Oryctolagus cuniculus: one gene and its partners. The protein of the gene in region 2 binds, or shares a complex with, the protein of the main gene of each other region. Links are inferred from orthologs where the notes say so. Each region holds a gene or a part of one and is shown on either strand. Other genes may lie near its edges. The genes, in order: CNOT6, CNOT10 and CNOT6L.

Region 1 (5,141 bases), on a different chromosome or scaffold from region 2:
GGAGCCAGGTACTTATCCTGGTCTTCCAAGGGGTGCAGGGCCCAAGCACTTGGGCCATTCTCCACTGCACTCCCTGGCCACAGCAGAGAGCTGGCCTGGAAGAGGGGCAACTGGGACAGAATCCGGTGCCCCGACCGGGACTAGAACCCGGTGTGCCGGCGCCGCAAGGCGGAGGATTAGCCTAGTGAGCCGCAGCGCCTGCCAGAAGTTAGGGAATTTTAAAATTAAAATGAAAACTCCTCTAGATAATGTACTAATTTCCAATCACAACAAAAGTGCAAACAGTTCTGCATATACACGAATCAAAATCTTTTCTCCAGTAAAATACATGCTCCTATCTAAACCTACCTGAACTTTTCCAAAGTGATAAATGCTTTAAAAGCAGTGTTTCTCTCCAACAGTTAACCTAGCACATGGAAATGGGTTACAAAAGTGCTGTAAAGGGGCTGATGTGGTGATGCAGTGGGTGAAGCCGCCATCTGCATCCCATACAACCACTGGTTCGAGTCCTCACTGTTCCACTTCCAATCTACCTCTGGCTAATGCACCTGGGAAAGCAGCAAGACAGCCCAAGTGCTTGGGCCCCTACCACCCACAAGTGAGACCCAGACAGATTTCCAGGCTCCTGGCTTCAGCCTGGCCCAGCCCAGCCCCGGTCATTGCAGCCATTTGTGAAGGGAACCAGCAAATAGAAGATTTGCTGTCTCTCCCCCTCTCTGCCTTTCAAATAAAAAAAAAAAAAAAAAAAAAAAAGTATCTTTAAAAAAAAAAACAAAGTGCTTAAGATATTGATAGGGCCAGCGGCGTGGCTCACTTGGTTAATCCTCCACCTGCAGTGCCGGCATACCATATGGGCCCCGGGTTCTAGTCCCAGTTGCTCCTCTTCCAGTCCAGCTCTCTGCTGTGACCTGGGAAGGCAGTGGAGGATGGCCCAAGTGCTTGGCCCTGCACCCGGATGGGAGACCAGGAGGAAGCACCTGGCTCATGGCTTCGGATCGGCGCAGCGTCGGCTGTAGCAGCCATCTGGGGGGTGAACCAACAGAAGAAAGACCTTTCTCTCTGTCTCTCTCTCTCTCTCTCTCTAACTCTATCTGTCAAATAAATTAAAAAAAAAAAAAAAAAGATATTGAACTCTCACCCCTCACAGCCCCAAGGTTCCTGCTATAAGCAGCCCTCAACATTTATTCCAGTAGGCCTTAGATAATAATATTCTTTCCTGTTGCACCACTGATATGAAAAGACTATAAGAAGGTTAATATGTGTACAGTGGAATGAATATCTGGGTATCAACCAAAATGTATATTTATATACTACTAGTGGGCAAATTCTTGTAACACTTTTATTTGCAGCCCAAGTTCTTACAAACCACAGCCTTGTCTGTTCAAAAGAAAACAATCTGAAGTTTCCCAGTAATTGTAGTGTGACTTTGCCAACAGGTTAAAAAAAAAAAAAAAAAAAGAGTGAAAATACCTTCCAATTGAACAGGCATTCAAACCCAGCTTCTTCAACCACATCACCACTGATGAATACACTTAAAATTATGCCAAGGATAGATTTCACAGAGAATGTGAAGTCTCAAAAGAAAATATATGTCTTAAGTCACAAACTCTTTTTAGCATGTCTTTAAACATCTTGGTCACTTATTGAGAACTGATCAGAGTAAACAACCTTAAGTAACTTCAACCAAACAGCCCCTGCTCTCCCCAAAGAATGTCAGGCAGTGACATCACCCAATCACATCACATGCTCATGCACACAAAACCTGGTCCTTTCCCTTCTGATTGCAGTATCTCGGGCAAGTGGCTTTGACCACTGAGCACTTCACTTTCCTCATCAGCAGCTGTTCAAATAGTTCATTTGAGGCAAGAAGACTGGACTAGATCACTGGTCTAAAGATACTAAGCAGTCTTTAAGACTTCATCACATTCTAAAGACTATGGTGACTGTCTTCACTGCAATTAAAAAAAAAGCCGATTTCTCACAGGCCACATCAGCTCCTACAGCCTTCAGAACTATTTTAGAGCAATGTTAAAGTCTACTGTATTGTGAAAAATACGAAGCGCTACTACACACCAGTTTATTTTTCCCTTATTCATACCCACTGTAAAGTTAAAGCCCCAGACACAAGCAGGCAAGGCGCTCAAGCAGCCAGCGATGAGACAATGTACCTAGAAAACAGGTTTTAAGTACAAGAACTCAAATCCAAGCATTCTATAAACTGTGTCAGTTGAACACATCAACAAATCCGAGGTGGCCGAGCAAGATGACCAGTCACACTGTTGTCATCTGCAGTAAGTTAAATAAAATAAGGTTACAGGTGCTGGATGCAAGGCAGAGGAGGAAAAGAGTCGATGGGGAAAAAGTTTCCAACGAAAATAACGCCGGGTGTTGAAAAATAAAAAAAGAGATGTGCCTGGGGCTACCGGAGAAAACTGCTCGCAGCGACGGGACTGCCCACAGGCGAGTCGTAGCAACACGGTAAAACAGATCTCTTCACCCGGTGCTAGGTGAGCTCTACCCTCGCAACACCCCCTCCCCAAAAGAAAGTCGGCGTCAGACAATGTTAAACAATTCGGGGGGAGGGGTAACAGTCGGCTTCCCGCTCGGCAGTAACTGCGACGTTCCACGCTCCACGGCGCGCCACTTGCGCCTCGGCACTCCGGGCCCGGGACTGCTCCTCGGCTCGGCGGGGCCGGGCCCGCCCCCCTGCGCGCCGCCGCCGTCCAGCAGCGCCCCCAGCCAGCGCTCGGGGGGGGGGGGGGGGGGGGGCGGGATCGCGGGCCGCCACAGCCGCCCGCCTGCCCGAGGCAGCGGGCCCGGCGCCCGCGGAACTCCAGCCCGGGCACGACCGAGCGGGCTCCGAGCGCGGCCGGCCCGCGGGCCCGCCTCGCTCACCTCTCGAGGGGCGCCGCCCTCCTCCGCCGCTGCCGCCGCCTCCTCCCTGTGAGTGCAGCGGGGTCTGACCTGTGGAACCACCATACCAGTCCCGCCCGCTGCTGCAGCGCCGCCGCCGCCGCCGCCGCCGCTCGTCTGCCGCCTCAGCCGCCGCTCTTTTGTTCCCCTCCGAGCGCTGCCGCTCCAGCCGCCGGCCTCAGACGCCCCGATGGGCCGCCGCTACACCTTCCTGCTCTCTCGGCTCCCGGCCTCGCCCTCCGCGCTGCGCCCGCCGCCGCCTTCGCTCCCGCGCCGCCGACGCCGCCGCCACCGACGCCGCCGCCTCCTCTTCCGCGCCCCCCTCGTTTTCATTGAAAGCAAACAAGCATCATGGCGGCGGCCGCCGTCCCCCAGCCCGGCCGCCGCCGCCGCTCTAACATCCCGGCTGCCCATTGGCCGACGCCGGCGGGAGATACCATCGGCCTCCCCCGGGAGGGTACCCAGGCCCCGCCCCCTTACCCCCCCCCCCGCGCAGGAGCGCAGTGAGCCGGCCCGGCGCTCTCCACCCCGCCCGCCCGCCCTCCCGCCCTCTCTTCCCTCTGAGCTCTGAGTCCCTGACCCGCCTCTCTGTTTTCTGCTGTTGTTAAGCCTCTTCCTTTTTCCTTCTTGCTCTTTTCGCCTCAGGTGGTTCTCCTTTATCTCATCTTTTCCCTCTTCTTCCTTGAGTCTCCTCCTTTGCCTTAAGCCTTAGCCTGTCAACACGTGGGAACACAGACAGGCTTGGGACTTTTGACCTTAAACCAGTATCTTAATCTGCCTAAAGGCAATACTTCGGGTGGTCCTGAGCAGCCCTGTAATTCTGCCTGGTCCAGTTATGCAGAAAAAAATACGCACGTGGGCCGTTTCAGTCCTGCAAGTTAATGGATGGTTTTGGTGGCATTGGCCTCGCCTGTGAAACCACCCATAATTGCATTCAAAGACCAAGAGGTTCTATTCAGGGCAGGCCGTGGTGTTTGGTGAACAGAGAAAAGGACACAGGGGTGACTCAGACCTCACCCTGCCCGAACTACTGATAGGGGCAAGACAGCTGGAAAGTCAGAGGTGTATGGTACAAAGGAACTGAAGCCCATCCACCTAAATGACACAACAGGACAGGATCTTGCCTGGAAAGTCAACCCTGAGAGATGAGCGTGAGATGGCTTCCAAGAGCTAACAGGTGAGATCCTCACTCACCCACTGCCTCCAGCTCCAGGGGGTGTGGAAGGAGAGGGGCTGTTGCTTGGGTACAGACTTGGCAGGACAAGCATAGGCCTAAAAGGCAACCACACTTGCTCCTCCCCAGAATTGCCTTGAGATGGGCATTGCCTGCCCTTTGCCAAGACATAAGCAGTGACAGCCTGGAATGGTAGGGTCGGGACACGGGACAGGGCAGGGCACTGGCAGTAAGCCCAACACAGGTAGGGATCAGTAAAAACAAGCAGCCCAGCATGGCCACCAGCCCCTAGGCTGCTGGAGTTGTGTACCAGGCTGAGGGGACAGCAGGGCAGGCACGTGTGCTTGTGCCCCGGCAGCCAGTGCTCTGGCCTGCAGAAAGGGGTGCTTTTCTGTAATTACTCAGCCCACAGTGGGCTATTTACTCATGATTGGCACAGTATGTGTGGTGGACGGCAAGAATGGTTGCATCACAAAATACATGGTAGCACAGAAGTAGCCATGCCACAGACTTGTTTGGAGTCAACTCTGGACTAGCCCCCATGGGGTGGAGGGTGGAAACTGTATCAACCCAACCTGTGCACATTATGTTCTTTGCATAGCTGGGGAGAACTCCGTAAAATGTCTGTTCATCCTTTCAGATCCAGTTGCAGTGTCACTCAAATTGGCTTATGCAAAAAAGAGGTTATTTCTTCATTCAGGTGTTACATAACTAAATCTTGCAGGCACCATAAGAGGATCAATCTCTGGGCTGGCACTGTGGCGAAGCAGGTAAAGCTGCCGCCTGCAGTGCCAGCATCCCATATGGGCACTGGTTCAATTCTCAGCTGCTCCACTTCTGATCCAGCTCTCTGCTATGGCCTGGGAAAAAATGTAGGAGATGGCCCAAGTCCTTGGGCCCCTGCACCCACATGGGAGATCTGGAAGAAGCTCCTGCTCCTGACTCCTGGCTTCAGATCAGTGCAGCTCCGACCGTTGCGGCCAATTGGGGGAGTGAACTAGCGGATGGAAGACCTCTCTCTCTCTCTACCTCTGCCTCTCTGTAACTCTGCCTT
Region 2 (4,623 bases):
TTGTCCTGGATATCCTCTAAAGTGGGATGCCAGGGGTTGGTGTGGGGGAGCAGCCACGTGGCGGTTTGGGCCTGGGATCCAGGTGGAGCTCCTGGCTCCTGGCTTCAGCCCAGCCTCGCCCTGTCTGTTGAAGGCGTTTGTTGAGTGAACCAACAGAAGATTGCGTCCTTTATCTCTGTCCCTCGGCCTTTCAGATAAACAGATAGCCAAAACTTTTAAAAGTTAATTTAAAAAAACTCCAGAAGGCTATCGTCATAATTTTAGCTTTTCTAACATTAAGTGATATGAAAGAAAACTTTGATTATCAAGGTCATATATATATAGCAAAATGGGATACTTGAATATTCAAAGAAATTACAATTTGAGATACTTATATCCAACTGTATGTCTGACAGACAGATGTGTCCCTGTCAGTGTGAGTCCTAGGAAGTACATATATACAGTTTCTCAATTGACATGAAAATTGTTTCGTGTAACTGATCTGTTTGGGGGAACTATATCTTTCATTTTAAGAATATTTAAGGTAAAAATGAATACAATGTACTTGGGGATGGTTATTGTTCTGAACACTGGTATGTAATTGTATGTGTGTGTGAATGTGTGTGTGTGTTTTTGTTTTTGTTTTTTTAGTCTGGAAATTACGATGCCTGTCTACAACACCTCGCCTGTCTACAAGATATAAACAAAGATGATTATAAAATAATTTTGAATACAGCAGTAGCTGAATTTTTTAAAAGTAACCAAACAACAACAGATAATTTGAGACAAACACTTAACCAGCTGAAGAATCAGGTGATATGCAAATGAATTTAACTATTTAAAATGTTATTATATTCTTGAATTTGTGAAATATAGCTAGTTAAGGAAAATATAATTACTTGACTGATATTAATGGCATAATTTCTAATGTATCTGAAATATTTGTTGGAATTAAACTTCCTTAGTTAAAATTATTAATCTAGGCAATGAAAAATATGTTGTATGGGTTTTTTTCTGTTTTTTTTTTTTTTAATGAGCTTGAACATGATAGAACAATATGTGAAATTTGAATGGGCTTTGGAGTTTTGAAGGTTGAAGTAGAATTGTATGGAAGAACTTGGCTTCTGAGGTGCTCCTATCTTGTTAATGACTGCAGAGACAATGAGTAGTGTCTGCCTGTCCTGGCGTTTGGGATCAGGGACGGATTGTCACCGTGCGACCAGGCCCTACCAGGAACCTTATGCAGTGTCTCAGCCACTCTGCCCAGTAGTCCCGTGAGCAGCTGCCGTGGCGTCCCCTCTCGCAAGTGGGGAAGCTGAGGCATGGAGGGCGTGTACAAGACTGCGTTAGGACGAGCCTTGTGAACGCAGGCGTGTCTGCTGCAGAGCCCGCGCTCTGTCACTGCTTTGTGCTGTAGGGGCTCTTGAAACTCCGTACTGTTGTGAATACCCTGTACCGTACAGTATCAGCCTAAAGTACGGCTCAGTTGGAAATGAATATCCCTTGGGCTCTTGCTAATTCTTTCTAATTCTTTTTATTTTTTTTTAAGATTTTATTTATTTATCTGAAAGGTAGAGTTACAGACAGTGAGAGGGAGAGACAGAGGCTAATTCTTTTTTTCTTTTTTTCTTTTTTTCTTTTTTTTTTTTTTTTTTTTTTTTTTTGACAGGCAGAGTGGACAGAGACAGAGAGAAAGGCCTTCCTTTGCCGTTGGTTCACCCTCCAATGGCCGCCGTGGCTGGCACGTTGCGGCCGGCGCACCACACTGATCCGAAGGCAGGAGCCAGGTGCTTCTGGTCTCCCATGGGGTCCAGGGCCCAAGCACTTGGGCCATCCTCCACTGCACTCCCTGGCCACAGCAGAGAGCTGGCCTGGAAGAGGGGCAACCGGGACAGAATCCGGCGCCCCGCCCGGGACTAGAACCCGGTGTGCCAGCGCCGCAAGGCAGAGGATTAGCCTAGTAAGCCACGGCGCCGGCCACTAATTCTTTTTTGAGGTCATTTTTTTGACTCTACGAAAATTCTTTATCAAAGAATGAGAACAGCCAACATTTATTGATTGACTACTGAATGCCAGATTCTGTATTAAGCACTTCTTCTGCCTTATCTCATAAAATCCTTACATTCAACCCTTGAGGAAGATACTTGTTATTGGGGTTTAGGAAGTCCAATGATTTTAATTTATGCAACTAGTAAGGGGAGGAGCAGGATTTGAAGTGAACCTCCTGCATGTGTAGCCCCCTTGGTGTTCCTAGACCATCACCTTCCGTTGTAACTTTACACGTGACTCTCTCTGGAGTTCCAGGATCAGAGGAAAGATGACGTTTGCCCCTACCTAGGGTGACACCCCTCTGCTCCATGGGCCATTTCCTTCAAAGTCATGGAAATGTTCTCTTAGAATACAGGGTTTGTGCAAGCTTACTGTTAAGCCAAGAAAACCTGCTTTTTGAAGTCCTTTTGTTGGTCCAGTGCCTTCCGAGCATTTGGTTTCCTAGAAGTGTTTGTACTTAATGTCTTCTGGCTTCTCTAAGTCGCGTGTCCACGGTCGCGTGTCTTAGGGGCAGTGACATGGTTTTTCCACCTACTCCACTTTCATCAATGTTTTATCTCCTTGATCGAGCAATCTTGTTCTGCCTTCAGCAGTTATTGGATTATTTTTGGTGAATCATAAAAAATGTGGCAGTTATTCAAGTGGTAAATTCAGCCGGAGCTGAATTCAGACCGCTTTGTCTGAAATACCCCTCGCTGGTTAAAAATTAGAATTAGCCCTTCCTTAGCTCATTCTTTCTCTGAGTTCTTTCTTTTTAAGGAGACGATCTTTAATCATTTGCAGATAGAAACTTGAAATGGGAAGGATGTCATAAAGAGCTCCCAGGGACCGGCGCTGTGGCGTAGCAGGCAAAGCCTCTGCCGGCGCCAGCATCCCATATGGGTGCCAATTCCTGTCCTGCCTGCTCCACTGCCGATCCAGCTCTCTGCTTTGGCCTCGGAGAGCGAAAGATTGCCTAAGTGCTTTGGCCCCTGCACCCATGTGTGAGACCCAGAGGAAGATCCTGGCTCCTGGCTCCTGGCTTTGGATCAGCTCAGCTCCAGCTGTTGTGGCCATCTGGGGAGAGAATCAGCAGATGGAAGATCTCGGTCTCTGTCTCTTCTTCTCTCTGTAGCTCTACTTTTCAAATAAATAAAATCTTAAAAAAAAAAAAAAATCTCCCAGACTCAATGAAGTGTACACGCTGGTGGTCGTCAGGTACCATTTGCTAATATTTACCCTGTGTTGGGCTCACCACAGTGACGAGTCTGCGGAAGTCCAGTTACAGATCACGCTGTGTTCTGAACCCTCGGGTTCTTACCATTAGCCAGGCAGAGGTTGGTAAGGCCACGTGCCACAGTTCCCCTGCATGACTTAGGGAAGTGTCATTAGTTATATGAGAATTAATTATGTAGTGTTACAGTCGTTTATTGCAGTCTTCATAATGACAGTGGATTAGTGTTAACATAGGTGGAATTCCAATTGCATGTATTATATGGAATTAAGAATGGCTTACAAGCCCATTGCCCCAGTTCAGGGAAGGGGCTCTACAAATGTCATGAGCTTTAAAATATAAGTGTTGATTCTTGTTCTTCTGATCGGCTTGAGAGCTAGGGTTTCAGAATAGCCCTTGAGAGCCTGTTCTGACCATCTTGTGTGACATCGTGTATTTTTGGTTTTCATTACTTTAGAAAAATCTGTTCTTTTTAATTGGGAACAGAATCTGAAAATATGCTTCCTAGCCATGTATCCTTGGATAGCATAATGAAGCATTCTGTGCTGGTTTCCACGATTATAAAATGGAGATTCCATGTATGTCCTAGAGGGTAGAGAGGATTAACCTGGCAGGCCTGGCGCACGGTAAGTACTTAGCTGCTGCTGTTAATGTTTACATTTCACTTTAGTTTTTACAACATGGAATCCAGCCGTCCGTATCGTATAATGCTTTGTGGGGAGAGGCCATTTGGGGTTTTGCCCCTTCTCCGTGTTGACTCTGGCAGTGCAGGAAGCTGGAAGTGGGCGTCCCGCTCGGAAGCCACAGCGGGGAAGGTACCGTCAGCGTGGCGAGGAAGAGCCGGGCCCTGCCGTGTGCAGGGTATTTAATAAAGTGCAGCAAAGCTGTCTGCTTAGGAGATTTGTATTCTGCTTGGACAGATGAATGACACGATTTTTACAGCGCGAGAGTGATCAGAAGACAGCGGTCCTGTTGGAAGTGTGGGGAAGTCCAGACTGAGGGGTGCTGGCCCGGGTCCCTGCTTGCTGTGGGTTATTTCACTCTCTTCCTTCCTCACAGTCAGAACACAGTCGTGGCTTGTCGTTTCGCAGGTGCACTCAGCTGTTGAAGAAATGGATGGGCTAGACGACGTGGAGAACAGCGTGCTGTATTACAACCAGGCAGTCGTTCTGTACCACCTGCGGCAGCACACGGAGGCCATATCCGTCGGCGAGAAGCTCTATCAGTTCATAGAACCTTTTGGTAGGTTATCTGGCAGGTCAGGAACTTCCTTATCAACCCCTGCTCACAGAGCTCCCTGGTGCTTCGTACCTATATGTCAGTAATTGTCTCTAGAGCTACGTGAGCTTTTCCTAATGGTTAAAAAGACTGAAATTATCTTT
Region 3 (4,623 bases), on a different chromosome or scaffold from region 2:
CTGAACCAACATCAGTCAAGTGTTCCTTAACCTTAGGTTCTTCACATCTTTTTTGAATAAATAATTCTCATTTATTTCTTGCCATTGGTCTCACCAAGGGTTTGTTTTTTTTTTTTTTTAAATAGAAATACGTGGACGCTGACATTCTGACTCAGTCTGGACACAGTGCTTGGAATCAGCAATTGTTTTTGCTTTTGTTTTAAGTTTGCCAAAGTGGTTCTGATGGGGAAGCAAGGCTAGAGGATAACTGATGAAGATTAGAATTTTTTCCGTATTTTAACATGCACATGCCTATGAATTACTTGGGAATTTTGTTAAGCTATTCAGCAGTTACATTTTGGTTAAGCTATTCAGCAGTTACATTTCAAAGCTCCCAGGTGATGTGTAGCTGATGCTACCGGTCCTTAAAGTACACTTAAAGCAAACCATCTTCTCCTATTAGTTTGTTCACAGTCCATTTATTATTCAGGGTCATTACAAAAATTATTTGAGAGAGAGACAGAGGAGAGCTCTCTTCACTGTCCAAACGCCTGCAATGCCAGGCACTGGGCCAGGCTGAGCTGAAGCCAGGAGCTGAGAACTGAATCATGTGGGTGGCAGGAACCAACTACTTGAACCGTCACTCCTGTCTCCAGGTCTGCATTAGCAAGAGGCTAGAGGCAGGTGTTGGACTCAGGTACTCCGATGAGATGAAGGCATCTTGGTCTTTTTCTTTTCTTTTCTTTCTTCTTTTTTCTTTTTTTAGATTTATTTATTTATTAGAAAGGCAGTTACAGAGAAGCAAAGGCAGAGAGAGAGAATGGTCTTCCATCCGCTGGTTCACTCCCCAAATGGCCGTAATGGCCGGAACCAGGAGCCAGGATCCTCTTCTGGGTCTCCTATACGGGTGCAGGGGCACAAGGACTTGGGCCACCTTCCACTGCCTAAGCATCTTAACTGCTAGGCCAAATGCATATCTTAATTCAAGAATATTTTAAGATGAGAATTTCGTTTGACAAATGAACATTTGATTGGCAAAAAGTATTCTCTTGTAACTAAATTTTGTTATAGTCTTTACTATTCTAGCTCAGAATAGGGTCAGCAGTACAAGACCCAGAAGAGTTTTTAGATAGTATGTTAATAAAAAGTAATGAAGTTAGAGTCCTTTAATTAGAAGGAAACTAAAATGTGCTTTTGTTCCACTGTACAGAGAAGCTTTTCTTGGCAAATTATGTACAAAAGTTAGCATGCTGATTTAAAATGAGTTTTTTTATTTATTGAAATTTCCTCAAAAATCTCAAGTATGAACAACATTCTAATTCAAGAATAGTAAAGAACTTAAATATGATGTATTCTAATGAAATTTTAGTATTTCTATTTTAGTATTTACTATGTTAATTTTCCTCTAGTCTTTTATAAAGATGATTTTTGGATTATATATGTATTCTTTTGCAGGTTATGCATGATACTGCTTTAGTAAAAGTTGCCTAATTTTCTCCCTGTTTTTTGTTTTTCTCCCACTTCTTAGCATCATTCACGGTTATGTGTTACAATGTGTTATGTGATAAATACGCCACCCGGCAGCTATATGGCTATTGCCCCTCCTGGGCATTAAACTGGGAATACAGGAAAAAGGGAATTATGGAAGAAATTGTTAACTGTGACGCAGATATCATTAGTCTTCAGGTAACACTATAGAGATTAAATTGTCTTTAACTTAAAGGTGAACTTAAAAATAATAGAAGTTCTTCCCTCTGGGAGAGATCCTTTGTTTGAAGTGAAACTCTAAAGGAATTATTTTCTTTCTCTTAAAAAAGGAACAGTTTTAATTAGCATTTAAGATATTCCACAGGGAAACTGTGTTGCTTAGTACAGCCATCCACTTAACATTAATTTGCTATTTTCTTAAATGAAAAAATAATCTTACCCATTACTCATGTTACGAGTTCATTCTATGAAAAAACCTTTGGTATTACTGAAAGAGAAAACTACAAATGATTGCTGAATCTTTTAGGAATATAAATTTAACTTACAATAGAGTTGTTAAGAAGAAAAAGTGCTTCCCCACAGTTAAAATATTATATTGTAAGTCATGCGTTTTTGCCCTACTTTGTAAGGAATTTACTCATCTGTTTTATAATTTTATTGTAACAAAGACTGAAAAATAGTCCTTTTCATGGAATATGTATCACTTTTTTTCAACATTTGGCTAATAATTAGGTAAAAAATTTATCCAGTTAAAAAGTAATTTTTTTCAGCTACTTTCCTTAGCTACTTTCAAAGCATTTTAAAGACTTAAAATTTTTTTTTTAACGTTTTGATTTGACAAATAAGAATTGTTTATATTTGGGAGAGCAGTGTGATATTTTTGATACATTTGTACATTGTAGAATGAGCAAATCAGGGTAATTAACATTTGTCACATTGGTTAAGTATTTCTTTTTTTGAAAGATTTATTTGTTTGAGAGGCAGTGTTATAGACAGAGGGAGGGACAGATAGAGAGGTCTTCCATCCACTGGTTCACTTCCTAAATGGCTGTAACAGCTGGAGGTCAGCTAATCTGAAGCTAGGAGCCAGGAGCTGCTTCTTTGTTTCCTGTGCTGGTATAGAGGCCCAAGCAATTGGGCCATCTTCCACTGCTTTCCCAGGCCATAAGCAGAGTGCTGGATCAGAAGAGAAGCAGCTTGGCACGAACGAGCACCTGCAGCCAGTGCTGCAGGCGGAGGTTTAACCTACTATGCTACAGTGCCAGCCCCTATTTTTCTGTTGTCTTGGAAATAACAAGAAGTAAACATCTTCAAAATTAAAAATATTCTTCTGAACACTAAGACTGACACAGAGTTGAGGGGAGGAAGAGGCAACCAAAATTAGACTGTTGTAGTTACTTGATTCGGTTTCATATATACAGTAGTAGTCTTGGTCTTCTAAGTACAGCTTAAAGAATAAAAACAGTTCAAGAAAATTGCTTTTCTGTGTTAAAATAATACCATGTTATAAAGTGTTTATTTTAGGGAAATTTAAATTTGCGAGAAAAGATAAAGTATTATGGAAAAAAACAATCTCATTCCTTGTCTCAAAGATAATTGCTCTGTCAAAACATCTAGAGTGTTTTCTGCATATTTTCTTTGTATTCACTTATGAATTTATTTACAGAATATTTTCAAGATAAAATTGAGACCTTAATGTTGGTATATTTTCCTTTTTGTTATAATTGTGTTTAATGCACTATTCATGTTACTAAAATTCTTAAAAACACATTAATATGTGAATATTTATTAATATAGCCTTTTCTGTACTGTTAGAAATCTAATTTTTTTGGTGTTTTGCTTTTTCCAAATTATGCTGTTTTGAGCATTTATATACATCATTATCTTTGTATTTGATTATTTCATTTTGAAATTTGTTAAAAATATTTAAGGGTCAAGGGATAAATTAGTCTAACTCAATTGTTAAATTAGCAGAGAACAAATAATGATTGACAACTCCCTAAAATATGTTAAAGTAGAATTTTTTAATCTGTTTTTCTCATTTTGGGATATCATTCCTTTTCATCATGGTTCAGCAGAATAAATAATTTTAAAACATACCTTTTTATATATCAAATTTACTGTTCCATTCTACCTTATTGGTCATATACTAAATTTACTTATTTGTTTTGGGGGAAGTATAGTGGAATGGAGTCAGGAGACCCAGGTTGTAATCTTGCTCCAGCTACTAACTACCTGTGTAAGCATGTGACGTTCAGGTCACTCTTCTGTTTTCCTCATGTTTAAGGAGTTAGCATTGTCAAATGGCAGTTGCTAGCAGTAAAGTAAGATGGTCACCTGTCATGCGAACTATTTTAATTTAATCAAGCCTACTTATAATGCTGAACATTTTCATATCTTAGCCGAAGTTATATAATGTCATGTAGATGATAACTTTTCTTTCATCTCAGGAAGTGGAAACAGAGCAATACTTCACTCTCTTTCTGCCAGCATTGAAGGAGCGTGGATATGATGGATTTTTTTCTCCAAAGTCACGTGCCAAAATCATGTCTGAGCAGGAGAGAAAGCATGTGGATGGTTGTGCAATATTCTTCAAAACAGAAAAGTGAGTTTAGGAAACAAAGCACAAAAGTCGAAACTTATTTCTTTTAATTATCACACATCTAAACTTTTCTTTGGTTTGACCCTTTAAAATAACAAAAAGCTAGAAAGCAAGTGTTGTACAATTTGAAAAACTGTTGTTAATGATTTATTTCTTAGGCCATGTTTTGGAAACAAGGATGCTTAGTATTCTATATATCTTTATTGCCAAATAACAAAATTTCTGAGACTTGAATATGGTTTTAAAATTGTGTTTAAGAATATATTTTCATAAAGTAAAATTTTTATGTAAAAAACTTACCTTTTAAGATTATCAATGTGAAATTGGATTTTTTATAGTTGACCTTTTTTCAGAATTATTCATCTTATAAACTTTTTCATTGTTTTCAATTAAAATTTCAAACTTGATTTACTTGTTCATTTATTAAATGCTTAGTGAGCATTTGTTTTGTCTCAAGTCCAATGCCAGATACAATAGACAGAAAGGAAACACAGTTTCTAATGTCATTGAAAGCTTAAGTCAAGTAGGAAAAGGTAGTCATATAAGATAACTAC

Evidence for each region.
Region 1: CNOT10 (region 2) and CNOT6 share a complex: the UniProt entries of both Homo sapiens proteins name them as parts of the CCR4-NOT complex. The link is inferred for Oryctolagus cuniculus from reciprocal best matches to the Homo sapiens genes CNOT10 and CNOT6.
Region 3: CNOT10 (region 2) and CNOT6L share a complex: the UniProt entries of both Homo sapiens proteins name them as parts of the CCR4-NOT complex. The link is inferred for Oryctolagus cuniculus from reciprocal best matches to the Homo sapiens genes CNOT10 and CNOT6L.

What each region holds. Positions count from the first base shown.
Region 1 is NC_091437.1:67,034,698-67,039,838, forward strand, and holds the start of CNOT6 (CCR4-NOT transcription complex subunit 6), read right to left. Parts: upstream 3,233-5,141; 5' UTR 2,982-3,232; exon of another isoform or gene 2,896-2,981; intron 1-2,895. UniProt on the Homo sapiens protein: Poly(A) nuclease with 3'-5' RNase activity.
Region 2 is NC_091435.1:169,324,172-169,328,794, forward strand, and holds part of CNOT10 (CCR4-NOT transcription complex subunit 10), read left to right. Parts: intron 1-630; coding exon 631-792; intron 793-4,332; coding exon 4,333-4,483; intron 4,484-4,623. UniProt on the Homo sapiens protein: Component of the CCR4-NOT complex which is one of the major cellular mRNA deadenylases and is linked to various cellular processes including bulk mRNA degradation, miRNA-mediated repression, translational repression during translational initiation and general transcription regulation.
Region 3 is NC_091439.1:88,238,193-88,242,815, forward strand, and holds part of CNOT6L (CCR4-NOT transcription complex subunit 6-like), read left to right. Parts: intron 1-1,507; coding exon 1,508-1,665; intron 1,666-3,917; coding exon 3,918-4,072; intron 4,073-4,623. UniProt on the Homo sapiens protein: Has 3'-5' poly(A) exoribonuclease activity for synthetic poly(A) RNA substrate.